3 linked regions of the Drosophila melanogaster genome follow. The gene in region 2 interacts genetically with the main gene of each other region. Each region holds a gene or a part of one and is shown on either strand. Other genes may lie near its edges. The genes, in order: srl, Ets97D and capu.

The links.
Region 1: of Ets97D (region 2) and srl, changing one enhances a phenotype caused by changing the other (phenotypic enhancement), as found in Drosophila melanogaster (one study listed by BioGRID).
Region 3: of Ets97D (region 2) and capu, changing one enhances a phenotype caused by changing the other (phenotypic enhancement), as found in Drosophila melanogaster (one study listed by BioGRID).

The regions. Positions count from the first base shown.
Region 1 is NT_033777.3:4,420,793-4,433,706, forward strand, and holds srl (spargel), read right to left. Parts: upstream 8,544-12,914; 5' UTR 8,183-8,543; intron 7,832-8,182; exon of another isoform or gene 7,758-7,831; intron 7,409-7,757; exon of another isoform or gene 7,328-7,408; coding exon of another isoform or gene 6,377-7,327; exon of another isoform or gene 6,238-6,376; intron 6,209-6,237; 5' UTR 6,188-6,208; coding exon 6,090-6,187; intron 6,037-6,089; coding exon 5,931-6,036; intron 5,861-5,930; coding exon 5,039-5,860; intron 4,973-5,038; coding exon 3,141-4,972; intron 3,082-3,140; coding exon 2,936-3,081; intron 2,873-2,935; coding exon 2,673-2,872; 3' UTR 1,691-2,672; downstream 1-1,690. Other genes in the region: CG31525 (uncharacterized protein), read left to right, coding at 6,377-7,327; eIF3a (eukaryotic translation initiation factor 3 subunit a), read right to left, coding at 9,327-9,376, 9,436-11,674, 11,725-12,809, 12,907-12,914.
Region 2 is NT_033777.3:26,907,452-26,917,187, forward strand, and holds Ets97D (Ets at 97D), read right to left. Parts: upstream 5,436-9,736; 5' UTR 5,310-5,435; coding exon 5,246-5,309; intron 5,169-5,245; coding exon 5,054-5,168; intron 4,993-5,053; coding exon 4,923-4,992; intron 4,868-4,922; coding exon 4,153-4,867; intron 4,092-4,152; coding exon 3,661-4,091; coding exon of another isoform or gene 3,601-3,660; 3' UTR 3,324-3,600; downstream 1-3,323. Other genes in the region: T48 (transcript 48), read left to right, coding at 2,025-3,016.
Region 3 is NT_033779.5:3,897,876-3,907,838, forward strand, and holds the start of capu (cappuccino), read right to left. Parts: upstream 4,986-9,963; 5' UTR 4,720-4,985; intron 1-4,719. Other genes in the region: fred (friend of echinoid), read right to left, coding at 7,684-7,712. UniProt on the Drosophila melanogaster protein: Acts as an actin nucleation factor and promotes assembly of actin filaments together with spir. May play a role in intracellular vesicle transport along actin fibers, providing a novel link between actin cytoskeleton dynamics and intracellular transport.

The sequences.
Region 1 (12,914 bases), about 22 Mb from region 2:
TGGCCATTCTTGTGGATTAGGTCACAGGCCTTCCAAGGAGTCGTTTAAGGTGAACTAATGAATGTAGCAACCAAAATAAGTGGGACGAATAGATTATAGACACTTGATTTTCCTTTTGTATTAGAAATTGTGAATTAATTCACAGAAATACACCGATCTAGTACAGTTAATGATAAAAAACTGGCGTACACCGGATTACAAAACTTTGATTTGCCAATGCTGACTCCCTTTCATGTCTTCCATTTCTTCTGCGATATCCTATGGAATAGGAATAGTCCAGCTCGGAGTTGCATACTATCTGCAATGAAATGTTGAGTTTTGGGAAAGTTTCATGCAGATAGCGCTAAAACTGAGAGACTGGATTGCGTAGATATACAGAGAGACATGGCTATTTCGACTTGGCTGTGCAGACTAATCAAAAATATATACTTTGTGTATAGTATATACTTTGTGTCTAAATATGTGTTTAGACATGATAAGTAGGCAAACTATAAATATGTTCTAATTATGGGCTGCAATAAACATGTCACTGGACAGCATAAGTGGCAACAACAGATAAGTACGATTGCAGCGGCCTATTGCCGAAGTGTCAAGAGATATTACATTACCTCGCGGGAGGTGATTAGCGCGGTCATAGTCCTCAAACATAGATTTAAGAATAAAACTCAGCTGCATTTATCAACGCAGACTGCGGCGTCTTACAAGCGCTGCATTATATAATTAGATGATAAGAACCTATTTAAGAATGAATAAAAGGCGAAGCCCTCCCAGCAGCGAGTCGGTTAGATTCAAACACCCGAATTGAACAAAACAACGGTCACGAATCATTACACTAGAACGAGCACAGACTTTGACAAAACACGCTTGGTTCAAGGTACAAGCTCGTTTATCAGTCTATTATTATTATTATTTTTGTATCACTATGTGGTAGTCCACGTAGTGACGAAGCGCTCTTGGATGCTAACACAACAACTAAGATGGTTTAGGAGAAAGAAAGTTAAAGTAAAAGTATTAAATAATTCTTGATAAAAATGCGGATTGATTGCCACCTCAGACTTTTCAAATTGCATATTTTTTCGGTTTGTTCGCCTTATTGTATCTCTGCAGCAAAATTATATTTTACAGTACTGAAATAAATTTGTTAAACAGCTCATTATAGGACTTTGTTTTCACCACTTTTGGCAAAACCTGCTAGTTCAGCAGAGAACAGCTCTAGTTTACACAGTCATAGTCTAACCTGACATGGCTTACTTAAAAAAAATGCGTTTTTGAATTTATTCAATTGGGCATGGGATTTAAGCAATGATTCCCGGATTTTTTATGCCTTTTTCCTAAGCTGCTTAGATATAATCAATGATTTAATATCCACCCAATTTTAAGGACGCTTTTAAAAATTTTAATTTAAATTAAGTACAGAATTTCAAAACACAGAAATAACACAATGAAATGGTCAAAACGATAGCCGTGAAATATGAAAATACCTGGTATTAACAGGCAAACAGGCCAGAGTTATAACTCAAATGGCAAATCTTTTTATTTTAAAAAGGCAGGACACATTTTGAAAAATACCGTTTGGATTAAAATGTATCTGATCGATAGTCTGGAGAATTTCGTATACTCTTGTCTTGCCAGCGTACTTACATTACATCATCTTACTAAATCATTCAATTAATAAAAAATGTTTGATTTTATTTCGGTTTGTTTTCGAACTAAAAATGATTTATTAAATTATCCAAAAGTACAAAAGAATATAAAAAACAAGAGATGGCTGTTCCTAAAAACACAACGTTTCGGCCATAGTTTTTAAACTATTCATTTTCAAAATCTTGTTTGGCAAATTGTTTTCAAAAACTAATTATATTATTTTAAATTTATAATTTTAGCTTAGTCCAAATAAATCGTAACAGTGATACACAGGCTTGTCAGTCAGTGCTTGTTAGAAATTACGGAATAAAATTTGAAAAGAGAAAGAAGCCTAACTAATAATTTCAAAACTATATTTTGATGTATTTATAATAGCTTTAGTGGAGCTTCTGTATTTGATGTAATTGCTATTCAAAAATTACGGAGTAAATTAAAAGTACGTACAAAATATGCTCTTTACAAACTAATATCAAAGTTTAGTTATCAACAGTTTAATTCGTGGCCGACGCATGCTGCATGCGCGTTCCTTGCTCTCTCTCAAAATACAACGTTCTTATACACATTTTATAGTTTTAATGAATTTGAGTTGTTATTATTGTTGTGGCGGCTGGTTGTTTTAAGTCCCATTGGTTTGGTTGTTACATAAATAGATTATTACAAAGCTTTTATGAGTGTGTTTATTTCTATTGATCTTCTTTTAACTTACGTGCTTTAAATGACTTTGTATGCATTACGCGGTTATCACAATTTCATTTTCTTTTCAATTCTTGTTGTTAGGTTTCCTTCACGGTAATTACAATTATCCTAATGTACATTGCAATGTTTTTATTGCTTGCATTGTATAGCTCTGTCAACTATTTTAAGATAAATTAAGAATTGTAATCAGGCTTCTCAGGTTTATAGATAGAGACTTCGGAAATTGGTCTACACTTGTGCAAGGATAGTGGTAGAATGCTTGTAACATACTTCAAATTCTCAAAAAAATTAAAAATTAAAAATACGAAATTAAGCCGGTTTCTGCCAAAATGTCACATCTGACTGTGGCCCTGAAGTACAGTACCGGAAGCTGATGGTGCCTCCAGCGTAGATGAACCTACCGGTGACTTGCCCGCGTTTAACTTTGCTTTTACCTGAAGCAACAAAGCTTCGAAAGAGTCCTCGACTACATTCGGTGCTGGTGCTTCCTTGGGAAACACATACGAGTTGTAATTATTAATGCCAGCATTATCTATAAAAGACAAATTAGATAAAATCGTACATAAAATTATGTAAAAAGTAAAAAAAAACTCACCCAAGTCAGCGTAAGATGAACGACAGAAGGCACGTCTTCCTCCAAAACTTATGTCATACATGCTTATTTGCGAGTCTCTATGACTCGTGTCAATGGCCGTGAATGCGTCCTGCGCTCTTTCGTACGTAACGAACCCATACTTCATTCTAAAATAAAATGCGTTAAATGTCTTTTTTAAATAGTTTTGCGGCCTTTCTTTTCCTACCCATTTTCCTTGTAGTGTATTGTTATTTGTTTAATGCTTCCATAGGGCAGAAATTTACGACGCAGAATTTCCTTGGTGGTTTCTTGCTCAATGCGACCGACGTAGACGATTCGCCGCTCTTCAACGGCCGGTTGCGACACGTTACGATCAAAAAATCCTCGCCGATTGTTGTTATTGGAGGAGGAGTTGTTGTTAGGGTAGCGTGTATCAGATTTTGAGCGCGACCGGGACCGCGAGTGGCGCAATTTTCTGTGTGGGCTGCGGCTACGTTCGCGATCGCTTTTTTCGGAGCCCGAGCATGACGAGGAAGTACTGCCCCGCTTTTGGTTTCTAGATCTACGCTTGTTGTAACTCGTGCGGCGCTGCCTGCGCCTGTACTGTCCATTCTCTGAGTAAGATGAAGAACTCACCGAGCTGCGATGGCGTTGAGTGCTACGAGAAGAATAACCGCCGTTTCCAATACTGCCCCCACACGTGGCTGCTACATCTAAGTTACGCAGCTGATCAATCGAATCGTATTGTGAGCGAGATCTGTGTGACACCAAGCTGCTGCAGTCGGAGGAAAAGTCACTCGAAGAAGTGGACATATTTGAGCCCGAGCCTTGTGTCCGTCGCCTGCGATAATTTCGACGCGTACGCTCTCGAGACTGTCGCTTTGGGGGCAGCGTCAATAGGGGAAATTCGGGTTGCAGATCAGTTTGGGTTGCAATGCTCACAAGAGTTTTTCGCACCCGATCCTTGGGTAAGTGCATGATGACCATGTCCTCGCCATGCTGACAATTCTTATCAGCGGAAGACATAACTTTTGTTGCGTTGGACTGTATCGTCGAGAGAGTAGTGTTACTCGTTTGCCTGGCGACCTCGCTTTGGATGCTGGCTATTAGGGAGTTGCTCATGTTCTTATTGGCATCCTGGCCGTTTGAGATGTTGTACAGCAAAACTGATGACTTTAAGAGAGAGCGAGGGGAGGCCTTGCTTAATTGATTGGGAGGTATTGTTATGTCTGTATTGCAACTAGCTGAAACTATTATAATCTCCTCATAGTCCGGGTGGAGTTTGTTGCTGAGTGGCGCTATCTCTGTGCCAGGATCCTCAGTTTCCATGCAGTAGGTGTCCTTTACAATATCCTTAAGTGGCGGCAGCTTGGTTACGCGTGGCACCTTGGCTGATACGCGGGAATCGATTATTTTTAGCTGTTGGGCACGTTTCATCTCTAGCATACGCAGCACCTTGTTCTTGGCCATGGTAATGGGATCCATGGGCAAAGAAGATTGTTCTGTGCGAGGACATTTAAGGCTGTTTACAATATTGACTATTTCCGCTTTTTTTGGTGAAGGTGTTGGTTTTGAAACCGGGGTAGGAGCAATGCGTTTGGCGGCAACCTCTATTTTCGCCTGCTTGGGCGGAGTTGGTTTAGGATACACAGCCCCCACACCGCCACAACGACGCTGTTTATATTCCTCTAGATTTAGCTTTCGCTTTGCTGGCGGTGTCAAAGTCGGGGTTGTTGTCGAAAGGGTTGGAGGTGCTATAGGTTTTGCAGCACACACCGATAATGCGGCGTCCCTCTCCTGCTTCAGAAGCGAAAGGTTTTTTCCACCCAATCCGAGACCCGTGCATTGAGTATTTTTTACTGACGGCTGCTTGTTGCTCATAGACTCAGTCGCTTTTTTTGTTGTCGCCTTAGTTAGCTTGGACAAGGAGGGACTACCAACCTTACGTTTAAGAAAATCGCACTGTTTTTTATTAGGCACCAGGCAAATATTCTTATGCTTCGGTTTGTTTGATGCTGGGACCGCGAGCTGATGGTTCCCCAGTTGTTCCGGCTTATTCTGTTTTGAGTATGACAGTTACTGTTATAAAGAATTTCTTAACTAGTATGTCGTCATAGGACTTACCTCTTTGATAGTAGGTGTGGTCTTTTTTGCGGATCTCGGACTCCAAGAGGGATCGGCCTTTACATTGTCCACATAGCGTAATTCATCGGGAGTTTGGCCCATTTTTGCCGGCTTATCTATTGACCAGATATTGGCCATATTCATATCGAGTACATCGACAGTTTCAACGTCGATAATCGAGTCAGAGTCATAATCAGAATCGCCAGGTTTAGAGGATGGGACCCCGGGTTTTGCCACAATTGTGGCAACCGGTGGATTAAGAAGTATGGGAACATCTGCTAAAGTATTAGATTTAATTTGCGCCTGTGCTTGCAGAGATTCCTTTTTGCGACAGGCGTTTAAATTCTCAGCAAAATCGTCTTTGGTAATAAAATCAGCTAGGTCAAAGTTATTAACATCAATACTTAGCCCCAATGCGTCTACTTCGGAGATAATAGTGTTAGTACTGAGCGTCCGTCCCTTGCGCTCACAGGAGCTCTGCAAGTTGCCGATATTGTTATGGACAACCTGCAGCCTTGGACTTTTTTCTTCGTTGACAATGTCAAATTCATCATCATAGTCGCTAGAGTGCGATTCATAGTCACCAATCGAAGAGCTGTCTGTGCGGGTGCGAAATGTGGACTGGCTTTGTATGTCCTCCTCCTCCGTAAGGCCGTCGATTTTAATATCTTCTTTGTCGTACTCCACAATGGCGCTGATCTGGCGCTGCTGCTCATAGGCAATCTCGCCCCCGCTGTCGGCGATGGACCGATAGACCTGGGCATTTAGCTCATTGGCATCATGGTTGCTGAGCTCCTGTTTCAGAAAGTCGTTGTAAATCAGCTATTTAAAGAGTTAATCGAATTAATACTGAAATGTGATTCGCTCGTATGCCCCTCGAGCCAAAACCTACCAGATTCTTTCTGTTTTGCAGATCTTCCTCCCGGTTATGGTTGAGCAGTGATTCGTCTGTGGGCGCGATGGGTAGGATGCCGCTCAGTGTATCTGTCAGTTGCAGTCTGAAAGGGTTTGCATTAGTTTTTAGTACATTTTTCTGATGACAATCACTCACTCATCATTAGATGACCAGAATATCGGCTCAGACTCGTATTTGGTATAATTTGCCTCAAAGGTATCTCCTTGGAACACATTTAGCATTCGTGAATCCATTTTGCGTCAAAAGTTAAGTAACTGTAAACAAATAAACTCGGATTAAATAGGGAACTCCTAAAAACGAAACCAATCATAGTTGCCTTTTCGATATCAATCCACAATCGTCATATGATTGTAACATATTGAAAAATCAAGTTTACAAAATCACTTCCCGTTAACCAAATAATAATAAAAAAAAAAAACGAAATGCCAAAAAAAGTGATCACAAGGCGTCAACGCAAAGCTGCAGAGTCCCGGCTAAGGGCCACAAAGGAAGCAAGTCAGAAGAATTGGCCCAGGATAATAGAAGTTATACCGATTCCCCCAATCTCTCGTTCGACTAATTCAACTAGCTCAAAGGAAACATACTCAAAGAAAAAAGATATAGGTATGTCCCAGACGACTTTAGATGGAAAGAATGAGAAGGAAAAAACTCCGTCTTTGGAACAGTCAATCCACGAATCCGAAAAGAAAATTCAGCTGTGTGATGCTCTGCAAAAAATTCGATTAACTAGTCACAAGAAAACCTTCTTGTCGGAAATAAAAAAGAAGGCTTTTGACGCGGAACAATTCCAAAATACCACTTCATCCGGATATGATAAGGACAATAAATTTATTGCACTGGTTCCAAGGAACACCAATAAAGGGGCCAATAAAACTCCAAACTCCAGCGTGCCATTGATGTCCAAATTTTGCGAACAAATTAAGTCGCACTTCCACTCTGTCCTGCCGACACGAAACCTACTCTGTTCAAAATCCCCAATTCCGATGGAAAAGGAACCTGATCACGGTGCAGATTTGCTGTTGCCACGACCAGTTTTCAATAACCTGGAGAATGAAGTTAAAGTCAAATGCTTCAAGCCTTCTGAGCTAGCTAGAAATCCCAAACCGCCTATTAGGATTTTTGGCATAACAGGCTTCTTTGTCCTAACTGGTACCAATGCTCAGTTGTCTTTTCACATCGGCCAACTTGCGATCAGAGGCGTTAGTGTCCAATCATGTATACATCTGCAAACCGAAATGATGGATAAGGTGGAGGAACAACTCGCTAAGCTGACTATGGACCGCAAAAGAATCCTCAACAAAATGCATAACAAGCATGCAACACTTGCACAACGTCGAGCTCCGCCAGAGACACATCATCAGGGTAAAAATTAAACATAGGCATTGACATTAAAATTAAATTACAATGTAAATAAATACCGAAACCGGAATAAAAATGTAGCTTTAGAAAGCCTTAACACGTGTCATAAATGACTTAACTTAATCATTTAAACAAGATTTCTCTAAAACTATGTCATGAATTGCACAATTTAACTTCATGTTTTGCATTACAAAGATTTTTTCTTTGGGCTGGGAAAGGTTGTCGATATATTCAAAATTATGTTTATATTTTCCTGATAGTTGTTGCTTAAAACTATTATAGTTTAGTTGAATAGTTTTAAATTTAAGTTCCATCTACAATATATTGATGTAAATACTGTGGCCGCAATATTGAAAGCCTGCACGAAAGGTGTTTTTTGACACTAGATACCAAGATTTCCTAAATGGTAAAATTAACATTTCGAAAATTGAAGCAGTCACATACCCTCTACTATACGATTGACGGGTGTAAATGATTTTAATCAATCTTCAGCGCCTCTGCATCACCTACACATGGACCTGGAACACAAAACACAATAGTTTTAGCCAACGACAACAATAACAAACATGCCCACACAACGACGATGGCGGAAAGAAGAAGCAGCAGTAGCAGCAACAGCACATGTTTGCCCCAACCACGTGTATGTGTATGTGAGCCACGATGGGCGCGTGTGCGTGTAAATGCCGCCACGCCATGTGCTTTTGATACTGCACTCCTTGGCGAAAAGCAATCGAGTTGAATGAATACGTTTCGCAGGTCTTGCCTATCACCTTGGCACTTTGGTTTCGAAAGCCTTTCTCCCCAAAGCTCAGCGGATTCGCTATCGCATTCGCGATGTCCAATCTGTGGCACGCGCCTAGCAATATTACCTTCTGAGCTTCCGTTGTGGTTCCGGATCACCTATTTCACTCGAAAAAGGGCTTCCCCAGCCGAACGCTTGTTCGTTCGGATTTTTGCCGCCGTCTGCTTTAACCTCACATGTTGAGCGCCGCGTCTGCAGCACTAACACAAGCACACAAGTCCGGTGCCCAAAAGGGCTTTTTCTTGCGGCAGTCAAACTGCGTCTTTCTGTTCCGCCCGAAGATCACGATCACCCGCGGTTTAAGATGGGCCAACGTCACTGCACTCCAAAGCAACCCGCAATCACTTTATCTCATGAGTACCGTATAGCACATTGTCCAAAATTTGTTCACGTGGACCGAGATTCGCGGCAGCGGCACAGACAGTGTGACCAGGGGCGCGCACCGCGGAGGATCCGCGAGGCCATGGCATTAGTGCCAAGTTCGCAAGAAAATACTAGTTGAGTGTGCGAAGAAGGCGCGGGCTCATATTATCGAGGCAAATTTTCAGAGGCAGAATATTTTTGTTTTGCTTGCTATAAAAGCTTTTCTAAATTTACTCGAATTTATTCCCAACGAATATGGTTTTACCTAAGAAAGATGTCACTTTTTTAAAATAAGTCAAGCGTATGTGATAATACAATTTACAATACTTTTGAATGCATTTTTTATTTATGGGCAATTAAAAAACCTAATGTTAAAAAGCCACGCTTCCAAGAACGAACTTTGTAAAACTATAGAAGAACCCGCATTTGTTTAGTTTGCAAACTACATTTTAATGTAGTTTTAGCTCTGTCGAAATATAAATTTAAAGGGACTGGTTTATAAATCACTGTACGTATAAGGGAAGCTTGGTTCATCCTGAAATCTGATAAATAAGAATTAGAATTTTTGAATTAAACCAATAATAACCACTTTTCATTTCTTTGATTCCCAAGGTTCTCATTCGACAATTTCACTTTTCAATTTTTTAGAACATAGTTATTTTATTCGAAAGTACTTTAATTAGTATCGGTCCTACAACCATCTCAATTTTAACTATCTGGCACAAGCTTTGGATAGATAGATATAATATACCGGCCGACTGAGCTCTACACCAATAAAGTACAAGTCGGATGAAATAAAAACTTATTAAGAATATTATGCTGGGTATATACGATGATGAAAATAAAAATTAACGACGCTTAACGCTGGTCCACTCGCCATCATCGCCAGCTTTGTTCTCTGAAAGATGTAACGCATTGATAAGAATGGAAATTAGGTTTGCTGCTGAGATTACTTACCCTTTTCCTGGGCTTGATCGCGCTTAGCTGCTGGTTTTTCCTCACGGGTCGCAGGAGCAGTACGCCAGTTTCCGCCTACTCCGCCACTGGCTGCCTCCTTAGGAGCAGAGCCGCGTTGATCGCCACGAGTCTCGCGCACATCTCGGTCGCGCCTCTCAGCTGGGCGACGGGTTTCCCGATCAGCGTGGCGTGGAGCGTCGCGCCAGTTCCCTCCAGTTTCCCGCTGAGGCTCGTCGGTACGACGCGCCCCGTCGGCGCGGCGGAATCCACCGCGCTCATCGTCACGATCCCGGCGAGGACCATCGTCACGGTCACGCCGAGGCCCATCATCCCTGTCGCGACGAGCCCCATCAATGCGGAAATCGCGGTCACGTTCTCCGCCACGCCGCCACTTGTCATCGCGCGATTGCGGAGCGCCACTGTCTTTGGGAGCAGCTGCACGCTGTGAATCTGGCTCTCGTCGCACACGCCAAGAGGAGTCCGCTCCCTCGTTGTCCTTGCGGTCACGGTCACCGCCTCGTTCAATGCGCTCTCCACCACGCTCGAGGCGTTCTCCACCGCGCTCGATCCGTTCTCCTCCGCGCTCGATACGCTCGCCACCACGGTCGTTGCGTTCACTGGCCGCAGGTGCAGCACGACGCCACTCGCTGGATCCGCCGTTAGATGCGCTTGGACGGTCACCGCCTCGAGGACGCCATGTGTCACGGTCCTTTTCAGTGCGTTCGCGCTCCGAGGCCAACTCCCTGGACAGGCGGTCTCGATCTTCCTTGATTTTACGCTCAGCTTCCTCCTCCTTGGCACGCTGCTTTTCGTATTGGGCACGACGCTTTTCGTCCTCAGCCTCACGCTCCAAACGGCGGGCTTCTGCTGCGGCGCGCTCTTCGGCAGCCTGTGCCAAGCGAATCTCTTCCTCCTTGCGAAGACGCTCCTCCTCTTTCTCGCGAAGGAAGGCCTGTCGGCGCTCCTCGCGGCGTCGAATAATGCGGTCGGCTAAGCGCTTTTTGCGCTCTGCCTCCAGAGCAGCCTCAAACTTTTTGAGCTTTTCGACGTAGAGGGAGGCACGTTCTTTTTTAAGGGCCTCAAGGAATTCATCCCGGTCCGGATACATGCGCTTGAGACGCTCCTGCTGGGCGACGGCATCCTTCCGTTCGGCAATGGCATTCTCGATGCGTGTCTTCTCGGTTGCTTCCCAGAACTCCTTGTCCTTAACCTGCTTTTCGGCCAAGTATTTTTCGAAAAGCGGTATCTCCTCCAGGCGCTTGGCGCGTTCGAAGTAGTCGATTTTCTTCTCTTGCGATTTGAGTTTCGACTGCAGTTCCTTGGCCTCGCGCTGAAGTTCCTCGCTTTCCCGCTTGGCGATCTGCTCGGCGTCCAACTTCTTAATGCCTTCCTCATCCAGCTTGGAAAGCATCTTCTTACCATGAGCCGTCTGCGAGATTTGCTGAACCTTCTCCTTGAGACTCTTCTCCCGGATGGCTTGGATTTCGTTCTGATGGCGCTTGCGCTCTCTTTCTTCTTGCTCCTGCTCGAGGCGCTTCTGTTCGGCCAGTTTGGCCTTCCGCGATTCCTCCTCCTGACGCCGCGCCTCTTCCTCTTCACGAGCATTATTCTGCTTCTCGATGTACTCCTTTCTGTCCTCGATGATCTTCTGTCGCTGAAGAATACGCTGGTGCTCGCGATCCTTGATCTCATGGTAATGGTTTACCATCTGGTTGCGGAGCTTGGCCCGCTGGTCACGTTCACGGTTCGGGTAGACGATTGAAACTGCCCGTGTCAGAACAGTAGACATATTAACCAACTGAGAGCGGATCTGTTCCGAGGGCATCGATTGCAAAGCGGGTCCGTCGGGGCGGTACTCGCGTTGACTCTCGGTCAGATCAGTGCCGAAATAGATACTGTTCTTCTGGTGGTCAATACGAATCTGCATGTCATTGTGACGCACGGACTCGACCAGCAGTTTTTCCAATTCAAAAATGTTGCAAAAACTGGCCAGCTGCAAGAGACGCTGGAACTTAATACTCTCATAAACCTGAGAGATCTGACGAATCAGACGCATTATAGTCACGTCCTTCAGCGATTGAATGTAAGGAGTGAGCAGAGCGTTTTCGGGCCCGTTCTCAATGAAGTCCACGATAGACTGAATGCGCTTGCACAGATTCAGTGGGTTGAAATCCACCTCCAACCAGTTGTATAGATTGCGAAAGTCCTCAGATACGAGTTGAGGAACATTCAAGCGCACCTGTGTTTATGAATTAGTCATAAGTCATTACTATATTGCGTGATACTTACCACTTCACGAATAAGGGAGACGCGAGTAGGTGGCTGGGGCAGGCCCAAAAGCACGGCCAACTTCTGCGCCTTCTCCAGGGGGCTCTTGTCCGCCTCAATAAACCTGTCGAACTCTGGATGGGCCGAAGGCAACGGAATAGAAAGAGTGGCCAGGAGAACGTGGGCAGCCATACGCTGCAAGTCGTCCTTCGTCAGGTTCTTCTTCAGCTCGCGCGTCAGCTGGAAGAGCTTCAGCAGCGCTGCAGCGTGGAACAACTGGTTGCCGGCCTTGCTAAAGACCATGGCTAATTTTTGGTAGTAGTTGGCCATGGTTTTGGGCACGGGTGTCTTCTTGGACAGAGCCATCAGGCCATGGATATCCTCGATTGCCTTGTAGGCCTCTTGCCACAGCTCCATCTGGATGGCCGAGTCAAGAAGGTACAACCTGGTGTCCAAGCAGAGCTGCTGCGTTTCCACCTTGTTGATCGAGACACCGGTGGTCTGGTTGCTGCTCTTGCAAATGTCCTCCAAGTGTTTGCGCAGCTTGTCGCACAAGCGGCGAAACTCGCTCTTGCGGTTGTACTTAAGGCAGAACTGGAAGGCCATGCGAGCGATATCGTGGTACAGCGCCTCGCAATGCGTGTTTACGCGCAGCAGCTCTAGACACTGGCAGTAGGACTCCCACAGGAACTTGACCCACGGGAGCAGAATAGTGCGGTCGGAGCGGTCCTGTGCGTCCTCGCCACACACTGCGCTCATTAGGATGCTCTCTGGCGTGGCAATGTTGTCCAGGTCATCCAGCTCCAGAACAGCAACGGCCGCCGAGGACTGGGCTTGGGCAGCCTCTGTGTGCTCTTCGGCCATTTTCAGGTAGCCGCGGATTACATTTTCCAGAGAGTTCACGTTCACCAGCTGGAACATGTTCCGGTACTGGAATAGTCCCTCCTTGGCGATGTGCGACTTCTTGAGTTCCACGCAGAGGTACAGGTACTTGAACATGAGCGGTTCGATGACCGTCTCCGAGTAGGCATAGTTCCATCGCTTGTTCCGGAAAACTTCCTGCAGCGTGTCCAGCGCCCTAAGCGGCTTTCCCACTTCAATGAACTCTGTGACGAAGAGAGCGGCGTCGAGTTAAGAGAGCACACGATTCGCGAAGACGAAAGTTTCTCTTCAGACACCGCATGGAAAATTTTCAGCACTCACCATTAGCC
Region 2 (9,736 bases):
AGTAGATGGCTGACACGCCTAGATACTTGGCACGTCATGTGCTAAGAGCTCAAAATCCAAGAGCTCGTCCACAGATTCTCTGACTCATCCAAAGAAAGTTTAAACAATGCCTTTCGGCCTGTTAATTCTTTGCCTTTCCCAAACACCAGAAACTGATGATCATGATCATGGTGATGGACGTAAATATAGTTGTAGTCATCATCGGAGTTTTATGGTTGCTCGAATGCCTACAACCACTTATTTAGTCGATCATTTTGCAGCAGGTGAGGAGAAATTTAAGTTTGGGCGTGGTCGAAGATGGGCTGGTCCTGAATTATAAATGTCGAATTTGATGAGATTGTTTAATCATGGCATAATTTAAGACCGAACTTCGAATGGCGGCGACTAAAAATCGATTGTATTGAGATTTACCGAGATTTATGCGGCAAATAGGCACATCTGCCTTCTCTATCTTTGATCTGATCTCCTCGAGAATTGCTTGAACTCAACTCATAGCAATGGACAAATTGATTTGCCATATATGGGCTGTATCATTGGGGTCTATCCACGGGCCCAACCAGTCGATATCATTATTTATATCGCTTCAAGATCACAGCAGTCTGCAATTCCAGAACATTTACATGATCACCTGAAGAAGATGCACGCCCATCGAATTGGAATTGTAAGTCGGCGACGACGACAGGCGGACTAAAGGCAATCATCCATTTAATAACCAATTATCATTGATCAACTGCACGCCCAGTCCCCAGAGACCCGAGCTGGAATACCAAAAGACAGAACACTGGCCAACTGACCACTGAGCAATATCAATTACGAATTACATCTGATTATCCGCCTCTGCCTGGGAATTGGCCATTTCCATTGCCAATGCCATTGCCATTGCTATTGCCATTGCCATGGTCGCGATCATGGGCACAGCTCTCAGGATTGAAGATGCCAGATTCAAGATTCAAGATCCATGCCAGATCTGGGGTATGGGAGTGCAGTTCCAACTCCCGCCTGGGGGATGTGTGTGTCTGATTAGCGCATAAACAAGTTAATGCCATTGATGATGACGATGCTGAACCACCTGGACAGACGCCAAGTGCATTGCAATGGGCCGACCGACGGGATCTGGATGCGTACGTGGTGCGATGTTATTGTTTTCCTTGGCAATCCAGTATCAAGATATATTGGGCAGGGGCTCCTTCAGATAAGACGCAACTTCTGGCCTGTTTGGGAGTCGCGGTGCGTCTCCTCGTCTTCGTCGTCGTTGTCGTGGTCGGTTGACAACAGAAACTGGCGGCGGCTTGGCAAGCTTTTGATCTTGACGAAGTTTTAGCCGCCGAAGCCGCCGCTGGCATCAGCCTGTGCTGGTATTATCATGTTGAACTTTCCCAGTTTTCGTCGTCTTCCTAGAATATGTATATGTATCTCCTCCTCTGTTTGCCCAACACTTTTTTCAGGGCGGACAGGGGGTGGTGATATGCTAATGTTGTTTGGGTTTGGGCAGCCAAAAGTCAAACACTGTTTGTTGACGTTACCTTGAATTCGTAGGGAAACAAGCGACGGCACAAAAGCCCCAGCAGAGCTATGCGAAGATCTATGGCAAACAAAGATGTTTAAGATATGTCATGTGTTCAGAGCGGACGGATCTTGACATCATAGTTAGAGTTCAATTGCTCTGGCTTCGCTAGGGATCGTCGTCTTATTGACTGGCATAAATTGCAGTTCATGAGAATGTAGAATATGTGTTCTATTCCTTGGCTTTATGAATACCAATTCATTGGGGAAATTTATGGAATATAACCAGACTCTAATCTTAGAAATGTTTGCTTAGTGTAGTTTGGGAATTACCCTCCCGAAAAGTCTGGGAATGATTTAATTCGTCGGCATTAGCGTGGACAATTGCCTGTGGGAGTGCTGTGACTTGTGTGCTTCTATGCAAATGAGGGGACAATTATGCTGATCAGCGCTAATTGAGGGAGCCATAATGACCCACAGAGTGACTAACCCAGTTCCCTTTGCTTCGTTCTCTTCCCCAGGCTGCCCGCTGACGACGAGTTCCCACTGCCTGCGCTGCAACAAGGTGGGCTGCATCAAGTGCCCAATGTACCTGGTGACGGACACGAGGCAGTGCGTGGATCAGTGCCCCGCCGGCTACTTGGACCAGTGGTCCGCCCACACGGAGTTCATGGGTCGGGTGTGTGTACCCACCGGCTATTCTGGGCCACTGATGGCCGCACTGGCCGGACTTCTCGGTGGCTTCCTCGTTTGCCTGTCCCTTCTGGCTGTCGCCGTGATGCTGGTCAAGAGGAAGAGGCGGCGAAAGTCCATCAAACAGAAGCTCATCAACGAGAACACCATGGATCGGGCGGACTTCATGAGGCAGCTAAACGAGATGCGTCCGAATGCGGAGTACTTTCTGGCCATGCTGAACGATACCCGGCGGCAGATCAGGAAGCTCTATTTGTCGGGTGAAGTGGCGGCTGCCAACTCGTACAGGCCCATCGTCCGGGATCTGGCAAAGCTGCTGATTCTGCTAAACAGGCCCATTGAACTGATTCCCGCCCCGCCGCCAGATTGGTCCAGGCTTTATGCCTGGTCGGAGCAGGCCCTGGAGCGTTACAAGCCGCAGGTGGGCCAGCTTATCGACTTCTTTCAGGCCTCACACGGTCACAGTGCTGGCCACCACGAGGTGCTCTACGCTGCGCCGAACAAGAAGAAGCAACTGCAGCAGCCCAGCATCTTCCGGCAACAGGTGACGCCCACGGCGACGCCGCAGGGAGTGGGCGAACTGATGGCCGGCGATCGGAGCAGCAGTGCCTCGGCGCAGCAGAAGCTACACCTGTTTGGCTCGCTGATCAGCCTGCACGAGTTCGAGGAGCCGCGGGCTTCGGATCCTTTCGGCAGCAGTTTCAACACGCTGAAGAGCGGCAATCTCATCTCTGATCTCAACGCCAGCTCGCTGTGGCTGGAGGACGAGTTCTACAAGCTGGGCTTTCGACCGCAGGACGAGATCACCACGGAGCTGTAACCGCATCACAAAACTCATACTCAAAACTTAATGCAAACTAAGTATTACCCCGGCTGGCGGCGCTAGCCGTTCGAGTCTAGCGCCAGTTCAGCTGGGGGAATGGAGCATTTGCGTGCACATTCCGACAGGCCATCATCGACTTCGACAAGCTAACTGGGAGGCCGTTTAGCCGGAGCCGCTAAATGCCCACGCTTAGAGCTTAGTTAGATCAGTTAAGCAAGCAAACTAGTCACGTAAAATCACAAACAAAACCATCAACACACAACGATGCCGAGGAGAAGGAGCTAATGCAAATGCAAATGGAAATCGCGTGGAAATGAATTTAGTTTTATGGATTTTACAAAAATCGCAACAATCATGTAACGAACAATATTCAATATACACACTATAGAAATACTATTCAGATAATAACTAAGATGATTAGCAGTATAAACGCGATACTTATAGCTATAGCTTATGTAGACAGAGATTATAAACCTTAGCGAATACGAAATGGATAATAAAATCGTGTGCCTTAGGATTGTAAAATATGTAACAATTTGTATTATTAACCAGGCGCCGTCATCCGACCAAGTCAGCCAACGCTAAGGCTCCTCGTACTTCCAGAGTATGTCGGGTTCCTCCTTGAGCTTCAGCTCGCCATGTCACGTGTCTTCTGTAATTGTTTCCGTTGCGGCTACGCGCTCGGGCGCCGTTTTCCCCTCGCTGACCAGCGTGGATAGCTCATTCGCATCATAGCCGATCAATAGCTTCAAATCGCAGTCAAATTTGTATGCGAATCGCTTGCCGGACACCTTGGAGATCATATCCCCATCGTAATAGTAGCGGAGAGCCCTTGATAGCTTTTCGTAGTTCATAGCGGGTTTGTTTTTCTTCTCGCCCCAAAGGCGTGCCACTCGATCCGGGTCAGTGAGCTTAAATTCTCCCTCGGTGCCCACCCACTCAATAACGTCCGTGTGCTCGCAGTCGGTGAGTATTTCGAGTAGGAACTGCCATAGCTGCACTTGTCCATTATTCCCGGAACCGATGGTAGTGTAGTTTGATGGATTCATGGATGACGTAGTACTTTCAACGGCTGTGAACGAAGTAGATATTGTTAGCTCATGCTTTGGTGTAACATTCACACGTCTACTTACAATCAGAGCTCTTGACTGACTGATAGGATTTCCGCATAATCCGCTGTTCAAGCGAAAGGCTGCCCCCTGAATTGGTCGATATGGAATTGGCCGACATGATTCTTGGTTGCTTGGGCTTACGCTGCTCCTCCGCTCGTTTGTGCACTACGGACACGAAATTACATTCTTTTAGCAGCTGGAGGTGGGTCCAGAAGATGTTGCCTGGATCACGGGGCAGCTTCTGATTGAATTCCTCGTGCGTCATTGCGCAGAGTTCCTGGCCATTCATTTGCCAGTCGCTCATGTTGATGCCAACTAGTTCGAACTGCTTGACGGCCCACTCCAGCCAGTACGTCACGTGTGCGTGTGTCCATTCGTTGGCCGCCTCGGGTATCTTCAGGCGTATTTGTTCTCGCTTAAACTTGCTGTCCAGGACCCAATTCAAGACTGGCTTGACATCCTTGCCCTCGACGGATTCCTCTTCGGAGTCTTCCTTGTGCATGCGCTTGAGTGGGGTTTTGATGGGGCTTTCGCTGGAGGAACTCTTCTGGCTGGCCGTTTCCGGCGGCGAGAGCTGGCCCACCACCTCCTCGGCCAAGGCAGCCAGTGCGGCCTCCGTGGGCTTCAGGACGTCGGCGATGTTAATGCGCTTGCGAATAGTTTGTATCTGCACGTTGATCTGGACCAGGCCTTCTCCCTTGACGCATTGGTCCACGAGATTCTTGTGCGATTCCAGCTGCAGGAGAGTGGGGGCTTAGGTAAACATTTTATTACGCCGCAGATAGACTCACCTCCTGCGCGTCCTGCAGCCAAAACGTGTAGTAATTCAGGCACACTCCTATCTTTTGCTCAACAAGTGATCTGTGGGTAGAAATGAGGGTTATTTGCATGACTAATGGGGGCCAGTCTTCGCCAGACTCACTTGAGCATGCTGAGCGGCTCCCGGATGTCCATGTGCACGATGATGATGTCGTCCGGCTCCGCCTCCGTCTCCACATCGATGCTATCCTCGAACATTTCGCTGGCAATCACTTCTTCTGCAAATTGTTTACAATTAATAATTCGGTGTAACAACAGGTGCGTCCCAATTGGGAAATGGCATCATTCCACTTACCCAGGGCACCGCCAACGCTGAGGCGGCGTATTAGCTCGTCCGACAAGTCATTGCTGCTGTTCATCGCGGCTTAAAATCGCAAATAACTGCCTATATTAACAAAATGTTTTTAACAAATTTGTCTCGTGGATTTATTGTTGCATCTTCAGTGTGACCGTGTACGTCGGGTGTGGCAATACCGAATAATACTAAGTGGCGTTGGTACAGGGCTGCATAGTCACTGGCCAGTATTGCCACCAATTCTATCAGATTTCAAAACTCTGGCGGTTCTTTTAAAAGTGATAAAAGTTTCGAAAAAATGTAAATATGAATGTAAGTTAGCAAGTCTGAAATACAATATTTGCTTTAATGATGAAAAAACTTAATAGCATCATATATATTTAAAGAAAAACATCAATTGTTATTTAGTTTTAAAAGAATACATGATTTTGTTATAGTTTTTACTGGCAAATATTTTGCCAGTTTTGAACTATTTTCAAGTTCCCTTTTCCTGTGTGGAAATTCATTGATCAAAAATTTCTTTCATCACCAGCTATTAATATTTTGAGCCTAACGATCTATAAAAATTAGCAATCTGGTGACAAAATGTGTGCTCGCCCCCTCAAGTGATTTCCTAGAAATGCCATCGAAATTAATTGAGGAATTCAATTCGCAACAACAAGTCGATGCTTAAGACACCCACTTGTGGTTGAGTGGTTTGCTCTTCATGCGATATCTTTTCGCCACTTTCTTTCGCTGCAAGACTCAATTGGCCGACACAATTGGCCATGTTTGTGCGTCGGCCTGACTAGGAAGCACTTGGGTGTTCCCACAGGCAAGTGAAGTGGCCAAGTGCTGCTCATTTTCAGCTAATGCTGATTAAATGCCCCGTAACACGATCAGTGGGTCAAAACGGCGGGACAATGAATGCCAATTGTGCTATGGAGCAGAGGACAGCCTCAAGTGCACAGAGTACTTGTTAACACAAGCGTTTTTCCATGTACCATGTACCGAGATATGGACAAAGACGGCTCCCGGCCTGAATAGTCCGGAGTTGGGAGCATTACCTCATGCTGTTGACTCAGTTGGCATAGTAGATGAACGATATTTGCTTGCGAATATCTTGCTGATGACAATGTTTGATTTTGATTTCGGTATTAGCTATAAGTGATTCAATGTCTGCCACGAATGTTCTGGCACATCATCATCCCCATATTGTGCAACCTTGCAACTTCATTTTCCCCTTTCCGTTTCGTGTCCGAAAACGAGGGAAACTAACAAGCCAGAGTGCGGATTTTGTTTTATTTGGGGACTAACTCTGCTTTGTTTACTTGCCAAGCTGTTGACTAATATTAGCCAGCTGGTCAAATTCAGGCGCTTCAGGTCAGTTTTTTTTTTGGTTTCATTTTGCGTACTTTCCAGCCATTTGAAGTTGAGTCATTGTCAAAGTCGTCTCATTTGGATATTATTAGATGTGAGTGGTAGTGAAATTTCTATCTTTCTTTCTCACCACACAAACCCTTATTACTCATTATATGCTAATGAGGACTTATCTCATTGCACGTTAAGTATACGCCGCATTGACCTTCTGGCAGATAGAAATCTATGCAGACCGAAAATTGTCTAGGTCATGACACCCAGCTGCAATGGGGCAACAAACAGATGAACGAAACCAGCCCAATGACAACGTGGAAAACTCACTCAAAACCGTTAGCGTACATAAAACTATGCGCAGTCATTGTGGCGCCTTTGACTGCCAGAAATTCCCATATATTCGGCTGCCAAGAACCGTCGAAATAAAAACACAAAAAAAAAAAAACAAGAAAAATAAAGGAAAACAACCCCTTGGGGTTTTCGCCTCTGGATTATTTGTCCGCCGAGCGTTCAACTCCACGGAATTGCGTCACTGGATGGCTAGAATTAAATCAATAGGGACAACTCCCACGCTGAGCACCAAAGTGGAGCACCAGAGCCCGGGACTTGGAGAATTTGCATTTCCGTGGCCCATACTGAATGGCCAGTATTTGGGTCGTCTAAGGATTGCTATCGCTATCGCTATTGCTATTGCTGCAAGGACATTTCAAAGGCGGTCGGCGTTTTCGTTTCAGCTTTCTTGCTCTTCGTTTCATAATTTCTGGTTTTTAATTAATTGGTTTTTTTTTCGAGTGAGTTATGGTGCCTTTTTTTTTGGTCTGCACCTAGAAACCTTCGCTCGAATTGGGGGCAGGATATGAACTAGTTTGCTATTGGTTTTTCGAAACAAGTCTGCATTATTTATTGGCCAGTTGAGGGCAGTGCAGTCACGTTATTGATGAACCGTTTAAGTGGTTGCTCAAGAAACAGGACATGGTTGTGGTCTTCTAAATGGGCTATCTATCATCTTTTGGCTATTTCCGATATTATAAATCCACCGTTCGTTGATTGAGTCACTTCTGCATTTGGGATTCATTAATATTCTGCGATTGTGTCACCACCACTGACCAAATTATGGTAGCCAACACTTGTTCAAATGATTTGCTTTCAATTGCGGATAACCCATCTGAGTCATTGTATCTTATTCGCGGATATTTATTATCTTTCTCTTGTATCATTGTACTTTTCAAGTACTTTTCCATCCTCGTTTGTGAATAACTTGTAAAATTCCTTTTGATTGATAATAAAGAATATTATAGATGTAGATTTATACTTTTAGCCAGTTATATCCTTTATAAGCATGTGCTATGATTTACTTAGCAAAAAAAATACACACTAATATAGGTTGGCATTGAGCACTATGCACTCAAAAACATTAAGTGCTCAAAGTATAAAGAGTTTTTAAAAATATAAATAAAAATAAAGATGGACATGTATGCCTAAAATCACATACATTGACATTTTTGTTTGAAATAGTAACCCTCCATTGAGGCAATAAGCTTTGTAATCCATTTTTTATGATTTTACAAATGTTTAGAATCTTTAAATTGAATTTATTTCGAGTGTTCGAAGTTCGACTGTTCGCACCGGAACGGCAGCGGTTGCTTTCGAACTCGAACATGTTCGCTGTCAGCTGGCTGGGTGCCTTAACTCGCATCGCTTTCAATATTGAACGACAGTCTTGTGGCGCAATTGAAACGCGACGGTTTTACTTTTTCGGAGCGCGGGTGTTGCCAAAATATCAGAAACAATAAAAGTGCCGACCGCTCGCGAGTTTTGTTTCTGGCCAAAAGCGATTGCTATAACGCTTATTTGATTAAGTACGCAAGTTTTGTTACTTTTTTGCTGTTATCTTTGAGAGCGTGCGTGTGCGCTTTTGTTGCCTTTTTGCAACTACCACAAAGTGGGCGGAATTTGTTGTGTGGGCGTTTTGTTTGCCATTTAGAACACAATTTCAGCGTTGGCTGAAAACTAGTTAGCCAGACATGAACAAAAAAAAAAAAAACACACACACTAAAAATTCAACTTCTTTCATAGCCAAAACGGTCGAACAAAAGACCGGCGGTCTAAATTTCAAATATGTAACGAAAATAAATAAAACACAGCACAAATTTAGCTGCGTGACATTGCCCCTGGCGGCCGAACAACAATAGTCGGTTTCCATCGATTTGCATTCGTTTTCCCTTCGCTCTAATCAAAAGCAAAATAACAAATCCAAATCCAAATCAAAAGCACACACGCACTCACCAAATGCACGCTATCAGCAATCAAAGTGTAACGGGCAACGTTGCAAAGTTGCATATAATCAAATGCATATAACCAAAAAAAAAAAAAAACACATAATAATAATGCTACAATTTCTTGTTTCATTTTGGAAAAAAATCATTTGCTTGAAAAATCTGAAAAATGCACAGCAAGCTGTAGGAAAAGCCCACGAATTGTGTTGTGCCAGCCAAGTGGAAAAATCAAACGAGGTGAGTTTGGCAATCGTTTGAATTGATTTCGAATTTTTTGGTAACATGTGAAAGTTGGCAATCCAGAATCCGAAGTGACCCGGGCAGATATTGATTTTGCTGCGAAAGATGTCCTTCGGCCGAATGCAATGCCGGTTCCGAGTGCTCCACAGCAGCTGGAATTCCCAAGGACGTTGCCTGCTGCAGTGCTTGAACTTTTCACCTCCTGTGAAATGAACCCACCGCCCCGCCACATGAAACAGCTGGGAAATTTCCTGTGCTCTCTCTTTCTCTTGTTCGCCGGCAGCATTTTTCGCTTTTCCGTGTTGCAACAGCACGAGAGTGTTTTCCATTTCCATGCAACGCCGAACAAGTGGCAGCAGGCTCTCTCTCTTAGCCGGCGCTTAAAAGTGGCACGTGGGTGGCTCTTTGGTTCTTTGGGTTGCTGGTGCCCCAAGTGGCGTGGGTGTCCAAACCTGCACCACCATTGCTCATCAGAGGCTTGGCGGCTGGCAACGGACACCACTTGTTTGGCCATTTGCTAATCTACTAATCTAATTCCTTTCCAAACTTTCAATTTCCTGTGGAGATCTTATAAAATAATAATAAAATAAAAATCTTAGAAAATATATTTAATTTTCATTCT
Region 3 (9,963 bases), on a different chromosome or scaffold from region 2:
CTGAAAGATTTCCCAATTTAATTGGACCTAATGCATGTTGGGGAATGGAAAATGTGCCGCGCAAAGTTCGCTTCTCGCAATGTTGCAACTTGGATCTGGGGTTTTGGTACTGGCTTGGATTTTAATTAATTTTACACGACATCTTCCAGGGCGGAGGCCCTGGGAATGCATTTTGACACATTGTTTGACAAATTGCCAGACGCCGGGGACACACAGATACACTCGCATACGGCGCCAACAAAAGATACAAACTGAAGGATCCGGAAAAAGTCGACAAAGACAGGAGTTGCAGGTAAGAGAATCATCAAAGCTAAACTTGACGGCAACTTGTGCCACTGACGCACAAGTTTAATGCCAAAGGGCAACGTAAAGCTTCTGGCGAAGCAGCCCACAAATTCAAAAGAACCAGGGGCGGTGCCATAGCCAGCATAAATATTTTCAGAGCCCAAGATAAGTTGTATATTCGAATAAGAATAGATCAGTTCTATATGTTCTTGGTTTTCAAAACTCTTTCTCTTGTAGAAGCTGTGTTGCCTTTAGTTTGATGAGAATGTGTAAACAGAATCACCCCCTTTTGTGCGCCACTGTCACCCATTCGCAGGTGCAGTGAACACAACTATGTTGCACTAACTGCGCTTTCTGGCAGTGCGCAAAATGTCGCCGCAACAGGGCGTATGAACAACGTCTGATTCAAGCACAAATAGATTCAATGGCAACAACAACCATCAGCTGGCCGGAGCATGCAGCACGCTACAGGGGCACCTAAAACGCTCCTCGTTTGCCCAGTCTTAACCCAGATGCTACGACAAAGTCAGTTATGGTCAATAAAAAGCAATGCGACTATGAGAAAGCGCCAGCAATAGCGATTCGGCTGCTGTGATGAGGGTACACCGAAAAAAATAGGTGGCATTTTAGATTGCTACAACATTTCAACTTCATGCTTGCCAATAACACGCTTTATTTATTTCCTATCTAATCAACGATTTTTGAAGTGAATAAGATATTTTATATCGTATATCGTTTTTGCTTTGCAATCAAGAATCTTAATTGTATACACTTTTTGCGGTGTATCTATTTTTGCGATACGATTGGGGCCTCGGCCTACAGGGCAGCAGCGGCTGTTGCCTCAAAGATGACAGCGTGGAATTGCACGGAATTGGTCAAAAGCGGTTAGCAACGTTGGTTGTTAACCAGAACAGGCGGTATATTCAGAATGAATAGAAAATTTGAACAACGCATATTCAGTACTAAAAGAACAAAATGAATATTTCTGAATAAATAACCATTTATTGAATAATAAGTATCTACAACATAGGCCAAAAATGTACACTGCAGCAGGAATGCTGGTTCACTTCAAAATTGACTTCCAAACATAATTTGTATGTATCTCGAAAAATGAGCAATGCAACCTCAATTTTGCACAAACCACTTTTGGGGGTCTCGAAAAATTATTTTTTGACCAAAAAAATGTGCGTGCTGCGACAAAATGAAAATTATTTTAAATTATAGCCGTGCCACCCAATCCAGCAGCCACCACAACCACATATTACCCCAAAAATGCCAGAGACAGGTACCCCAAATGAATTCTGGTTGCAGTGACAACACATTTTGCACGTTTTGTAGATACAAATGGGTCTAATTTTTATTTGCCTCTAGTTAATTTCAACTGTGAAAAACCATTTTGAAAACGGTGAGTGTGGTGCGTGGTTAAAGATACAAAAATCAGAACAAGTTTCAAAGAACAATTCTAAAAGTATTTATTCATAAAACAATCTTTAGTTACTGATTCTGTTGAGTTTTCATTTTTAAGCCGCATAATGGTCAAAAGTGTGATATTTTCTGGATTGCTATCGCGATTCATATAGCAGTGACACCTCACCGACACAGGGACTCACCCACACCGATACCTTCGCACACACACACACACACACACACACACAAACGCGCCGAGGGAAAGACAGAGACAGATAGACAGTTGGGGAACATTCGCATCGGACACCGTTTGCAGAGCTGCAACTTTAATTGCTTTGGTGGTTTGTGCCAAATTAGATTCTGCGGTTTTGTCGCGTCGCCATTCCGGTAATCGAGGGTGTACTGTACAACGGGGGTCAGAGTGTGATGGGCAAAGTGGGGTATGCGGGATGGTGTCTTGGCCATGGCCTTTTCCCCAAACTCCGTCGAGCTGAAGCCAAAAGCTGACGCTGACGCCCATCAATTAAACTTGTCAATGAGAATGCGATGCAACAGCAGGAACAGCAGAAATAGCGACAAGAACCCGGGGAATAAGAACTAATGGTGACGGTATGGGGGACTTGGAGCTTAGAACAAGGGTTATTGAAGGGAGCTCGAAACCAAACTAAATCGACTGAAAGTTAACTACATTTCACCCGCTTCGCTGGCATTCAAATTAGGTTTCTGTTCGAGACGTGTATATTGGTAATTTGATTGGAGTTTTAGAAATTGAATTCTAGCATGTTTCAAGAAATAATTATCGGCGATGCCACGGAAATCCACGGAACTCTGTATATGAGTTGTGCCAAGAAGAAATGTTTAAATTGTTTTTGTTTATAAAAACTTCTTCTTAAAGGTCACTTGAATATTTAAATTTGCCACAGGCACCTGAAAATACTTCCAAATGCAATCAGCATGGTCCCAGGTATAAGTGGCTTTACATACGCAAGTCGTGCAAATATTATTCCACTTTCCGTTGAATTTGGAATATTTGCAAAAGAATCTAAGGAAAAATGCCTGGCGTCTTTCGAAATTTCCATTTCTCGAAAGCCGCCGGCCATTGACATGACTCTGCGGACTTATCCTGTTGTTCGGTCCTGTCGTTATGGACTCTGTCCTATCTACTATCTTAACAATTGTGCGCACCAAGAAATTGATTTATTTTTGTTTACGCCAAAACAGCAAAAAGTTTACCACATTTTCTGCTCCTTCTCTCCAACTTGCCGTTGGCCAAGTTTTAGTTGGCTTATTGCGTTTGCACTGAAAATCAGAAGTATGTTTCTCAGGATTATTCAATATTTTTCTAACAACTACTTGGCATTTAATTTCTGATATTCCCACGAGCTAAGTAGAATTTTTATTTAATACCTTTAAAGAAGTATATTTAATAGTACAAATTAGACCTAATTATCTTCTCTCTGTGCAGTGCTTTGTTATCCGCTGCTTGGGAACAGTCGGTCTAATCCTAATGCTCCCTAATTACATTGGCCAGCAAGTCAACACAGTCTAGGCCAAGTTTCCCCGCTGCCTATTTGAGTTGGTCATGTCGCTATCTGCTTTCCAGCCCTCTTATCATTTTTTAGACCCATCTTAAAGACACTCCTAATTATTGGCCCTCTGGCGCACAATGCGGCCAGTGAACTGGCTGTTCTGGATTTCTTTTTTTTTTGCCGTTGAGCCCTGTTTATGTGGTTCGACGACACCTGGCGACATCAATTAGGGGGCAGGAATGAGCTCTTCGAAATGGAAAATCGTGGGAAAGTGGCGCCTCATACTGGCCGACAAATGTCAAGATGGCTGCAAATCTCTTTTGCTCTGAAAATCTGAGGTGTTGATAAAGGTGCGATTGAAAAGTTTGATCAATGATACTATTTAAGATTGAAAAGGGTTTCTCGTTATATATTTAGGAAGCAATTTTTCACACTTATTTTTATTTAGTTTTTAATCTCTTACAGTGCCTGCATAATTTGTATGCTTTTTATGCGCAAACATACAGCGCCGCAGCTTAACAAGCATTTTTTTATTTATTTCCCTCATATAAAGAATAATTTTTTTTCCTTCTTCCGCACTGTGGAAATTTATGAAGGGCCCTCGAAATGGCCTACGACCTCTATTCTGCCCCCAAACACATTCCCCAACCCCCGTCAGGTTGCAGCTGGGGGGTGAAAAAAAAAAACGTGGAAAACATCAGACGAGCAAAATGGCGAGCAATAAAAATAATTGCAAAATTCGAGATTCAGGTGGGGGCATGCGGCACGCTTAAAGTGGCACCTCTCTTAGCCACGCCCCCAAGTTTCCAAACCTCTCGCCCCTATTCCACACTTGGCAAACAATGGTGAACAGTGAAACAAAATGTTCATTGCAGTGTAAAATCTGCGAATCGCGGTTTTCTTTTTTTTCACTTTTCCCTCGGTTTGTGTGTGTTTTCGCGTTTTACAATCTGTTTCGCAACTCACGTAAAATATAAGGTAATTTGTGGAAATTTGATGTTTATCGTAAATTGTTTTTTATTTGCACAATGTCACCATTTTGCGGTTTGCCAGCAGCGCAAACTCACACACACACGCAGACTGACAAGCAACACACACACAGGCACGCATTGGTGGTCAGAGTTGCCAAGCAGTCAAAAAATAAAATTCCACAAAAATTGAGTTTTAAAGTTGCGAAATAATTGAATACACTTTTTAAAATCAAAACAAAAATCTGTTAAGTGCAATGATTGTTAAAAATACTAGTGTTGTGCCTAAGTTGTAGTAATTAAAAATAATATATATGAAGATTATTAATTATATATTATACATATATACTGGTCTTTAAATCTGATAAATCATTAATGGTCATTGTTGTTTAATGCTCAGATAGGCAAAATATATTCAGTTTCTGTAAGAATATCTGACAGTCGATCTACATTTTTCCACCTTAATTGTGCGCACCGCAAAAAGAGCATAGATAGATGGTAAAAACAATTGCAAACATTTTTCAATTTACCTGCATGGCGGAGAGGACTTTCCTCCTTTTGTTGTTTACTCCATTTTTTATTGCGTTTTTCTGTGGGCCCAATATTTTGGGCTTAATTGTGGCACGAATACCCCATTGCAGAAGGGCTAACAATGTGATGGCTATGACCATCATAGCCGGATAGAGCTCTTCCATTGGATACACAATCATCTTACCAAAACGATATACAACAAAAAAAAGGAAACGAAAAATTACACAAATTTTGACAGAATTTTGTATGCCTAACCCAATTGAACGGTGTAGACGAACTGCTTGTTTTAAATTTCATTTTATTTACTTTATAATTATCGTATATTCTGATTTACATTGTATAATATATCGTATATCATTACTGTCTAGGTTTACAATTAAAATTAGTTTAAACTTTTGGTTTCGCACTAAAAAGGTCAGTAAAATGTTTCAATCGCCTGGCGTGAACATTTCTGTTCTCTCGGTTCTTTTTTTTTTTAAAAGCAGATTTAATAGTTTACATTTAGTTTGAGTAAAAATTATAGAACGAAAATGGACAGTTTAATATAGTCGCAGACTTAGACTAAAGTTATTGGCTATTTTGATCATATTTGGTTTTGGATTACCAGTACATCTTTGTTTATATCTAGGTGGATACTTGAAAAATGCGTGGGTGGTCTGAGTTTGTTCGGGGACTAAATAAAACTCCTTAACTATTTTTAAAACTATTTTTTTATTATACATAGTTAAAAGTAAGATCATTAATTAAATAAGAAATACCATTTATAGATGTATCTTACTCAACGCCACAGTAACCCATTCATAAAAATGCAGATATTATTCACTATTCTAATAAATATTTTCGATTATGTTTTAAACACATTTATTTCAAATTAAATTTCTAAACTCTTTGGTTTACTCTGTTTATCTATTTACAATGTCCTTAAATCTTTAATATCCATTAAATAGTTTTTATCGCTAAGAGAAATTTATGTAACCTTCATTCAAAAACGAAATTATTTTATTTTACTAAATTCCTTGCTTCCGCTTGCAATTATTCAAATAAAATACTGATACATTTTTCATTTTTAATGCTCACATATTACGTTTTTATTTTGTTTGTTAAAAGTATCAATTATGTGGATTTATTACTCAAATATTTCATAACAGAGCTAAACAAGTATTGGATTAAAGATAATTCCCCCTTCTTTTATACTTTGCTGTGCAATTAAATATTTTGTGTATTTTTACAATATCACTGAGTGCTCAAGGGTTTTACTAACAATCGAAAGCAAGCAAAGAATTCTGTACAACTGATTGTTTTTACAACCCATTTCGATTTTATAATTTTAGAGCGAAAAAAGAAAGCAAAAAGGAATTTGTATCATTTTTGTTTCATCCGCAAGTTGGGAGAAAGTTTTGCTATAGTTGGCTGATGATTTTTCGGTAATCACCTTTCACAAATGAAGGTGAAAAGTAAATAAAAGTATTTGTATTGAACTTTTCACCCAGTTGTAGTTTACAAAATCGGTTTTAAGCTTCCCGCAGTTTAAAATTTAATTCGAATTCGTTTTGATGTCTGTTGATTATTCCATTTGCCGGCTATTATGATTTTATTTTAAAGATTTTCTCTTTTTGCTAAAAGATACTGTTTCTATTTGAATTTCCATATTTTTGCGGTCTTGTATGACGCTGTGTAGATATTTTTTTTGTTAGCCTATTTTTATGTAAATGCAACTCACTTGGACTTTTGACTGGCAGTACTAAATTTTCAAGTTTTTTTTTTAGCAGTTGCAATTTAATGACTCCATGTTCTACTATTTACAGATTGCACAGTAAATAAATTGATATTGTGTGCTCTGATTTTGCCGAGCTGAATTGCACGGAGCTCTTTGTGCAATGGCAAATTAATTTGCAAATTTACACAATCTAATTTTAGGTCACCGAGGGACCCAGACGACCAATTGTTAATTTGTAATTACAATTTTTGCATTATTATTGCTTGCCGACAATGCGAACAATTGAAATTAGCAGCGCAATTAGTCGAACCGAGCAAACAAATATTCGTTCCAATTTAATGCCCCAATGGAGACAAAAGCTAATGAGGAGTCGAAAAACTTTTGCCAACCTTTCCCCTTTTTCGCATTGTGTCGAAGTTTGATTTTTATTGGTCATGTTTATTTTGCATTTTGGGCTGACTGGGCGGAAAAGCAATTAAATGAACATTTTGTCTCTTTTATTTGATTTAAACGAGAACAATTTCCATATTTAAAAAAAAAAATGCATAGAAACCTCAAAGGTGGCTTTTGTGTTTGGCTGTCGGTTTAACAATGATTTGACCAGAATATTATGGCGGTAGTTTTGCAGTTTGTCGCCATGAACCTCAATATTTTGGCCACAGTTTTGAAAAAGTATTATTATTTTTAAATAAATAGAATAAGCAGTGAGCAAAATAACGTGGGCTGAATCAGAAAACTGCATTCGATTTTCGCTTGAACACTATCTATTACAAATGTACCCATGTTTGAACATAAAATGTTTGAAGTCTATAAATTTTTAAAAGTCAATACTCATATTTGAAGAAGAAATTGATTTTTACGAGAATTTGTTCTCTTGCTAAAAAACTTCCTTTGGGAATTATTAGGTTTGTGAATTACTTTTTTTAATTCTTAACCTAATTGGAGTTGTAGTTACTATTCTCTTTCGTATTTCTTTCGGTTCTTTAAATTTACAGAACTCTTTCTTGTTTTTTGGTCGAAATAGGCAAGGATTTTTTATTTTGCATGTTGATTTTGCATTGCAAGCAATTTTCACGCCACTTAAACAGCTAAAAAATTTCATTTTATTTTATGATTATTTGCTTGTGTTTTTATCTATATATTTTTTGTTATGTTTACTTACTCAAATGCTTATGTCGAAATGTATTTGGTTGCCTTTTTTTTTTTGTTTTATCTTGTTCTTGTTGTCTCTCAACTGGCAATTAGTTTAATTTGCCAAATCCTGTATTATATCCGCTGCAATGAGAGAGGCAAAAATCGATTTGCGTTTAGTGCGATTTAAGCTCATTAATAAATAATGGTGAAATATGCAATTTAAATTAATTAATGCGTGTGTGAGCGGGGGCTGTTCCACTAAGCTATTAATTTGCGCAAAAAATAAGAGATGGGCTTAGTTTTTATGCAGCTATTTCATTTGGATTTTTAGATTGGGGTCAAACGAGCTGGTTGCATTATATTTTTATTTATATGTATATTTATAGAAATTCGCTGGTATTGCATTTGCATTCAATCAGCATAATGCGCTGCTGAATGGGCCGAATGCAGTTGTATTTATTTTATTTCTATGTATCCTCCATCATATTTCAACCGCATTCTATTCTATGCTTTTATATCCTATCCATCCATATTATGTGTGACTTGAGGCGTGTTGAACGTTGCCATCTCGAAAACTCGCTTCAAATGCCAAAACACTTCACATCCGCCGAGGTGCGAGACTTTTGGGAAAATATTTTCCCCCTTTCTCGCCGATTCGAGGCGACACTTTATGCACTTTGACTTGCCTCTGACAATTGCGACTTTTGCATAAATACATTTTCTGAATTTTCCGAGTCAAGTGGTTTGTGGAAAATCTCGTTGGCGCGTCTCGCACACAATAAAATACTTTCGAATGCGTTTCTGATGCATTCTGAATGCGTGGTGGCGTTGCGCGGAGCGAAAATGTATCTGATCGCAAAAGCCGCAATGCATTTTCCGCACAGATTTTCCCCGCATTCAGTATGTCTCGCTCCAGCCCCCACAAAACTCAATTAACGCTTCACGGTTTCCTTTCACAAAATGTGACACAGTCGTTTGAGCTTTATGTTTGACCGCTTGTTGTTATGTTTGATTACCTAATAAACATTTTATGAGCCAGGCCAGTTGGTCACACGGCAAATTGGTAAATTGTTTGAAAAGATGCATTACACGCGGTGAGTCCTTTCCTTTTTTTTCCCCTCCTTTTTATGTCTGCTCCTCCTCGCGATTTTCCAACCCCTATCCACCGCTTGGCTCGCCTTTTAGCCAACCATTTTGGCCAGGCCATAATTAACAAGCTGCAAAGCGGCTCCAATGGACTGGCAATGAGTTTCCCGTTTTAATATCTTACTTTTCGAGGGAAAGTGTGAAGCGACCTGCTTGTTTAAACGCATGTAAGCTGTTGAATATTTAAATAAAATTGGAACGACGGCTTTGCTCTATAGGATATAAATAATCAATACATATATTCTTCTACTTTCATCTGCCTTACATTTCATATTAATATATTATTATTTCATATATACGCCTTGTTAATTGAATACACCGGTTGACTTTTAGCAGCTAGGGTATTCTGCGATCGTTGTAATTGAATTGCGAGTCAGCCCACTATAAAGTCGGTTAATGTTGACCCCATTACAGCCCAGAAATTGTGTTCTCCGTACTTCTCCTACCCATCTGCAGGACCACCATGATGATAGTCCAATGGCTTTTGTTGGCCCATAAAACATGTTTGCCGGCTATAAGATGCGTTCAGTTGGTGGGATGCTGTAGTCCGTGTTGCTACCTGAACTTTCCTTGACTCCCCCAACCCCGAACCAGAATGCTTTTGGACTGCTCTTGTATTTATGCCTATGAATATTTCATTTAATTGAAGCGCATTCATTACCAACCACACAGAGCAAACAACAACCGCCCTTGCGCCCCTTGCGACGCCACACTTTTGGCGTTGTAATTAAAATAAATTTATTACGTAAAATGTTTTGCCAAAAAATTTGTCGAAAGTTGTGGCTTTCGCCCCGTGGCGTAATAAATAATGTGGAAGGTGTATGCGTGGTAGTATCTGTGTGAATGTATGTTTAATGATCTGTGTACTTGCTGTTTTTGCAACCGTCGCCGTACGGAAATTGATGCGGTTAATATGCTTCCAATTGTTAATTTTTGCATTTCGTTTTATATTTCCGAAAGCCACAAAATCAAACAAATAAAGATACGCACAGGGAATGCAAATAGAAGCCGAAAACAAAAAGCTAAATCTAATCAACAGGAATAACAAACCGACCGAGCGAGCAACCAACAAATTTAATGGATAACCCAAAATTTATGATTTTCCCGGCTCTGATTTGTCTGACCGGATTTTTCAATATTCATGTAATTAATTTTCTCGAAAATCTTCTCGTGCTGAATGAATTTTCGATAGGGAAAAGAGACTTTATTGATATTTATGGGATTGGGGACACATAAAATTCGGCTA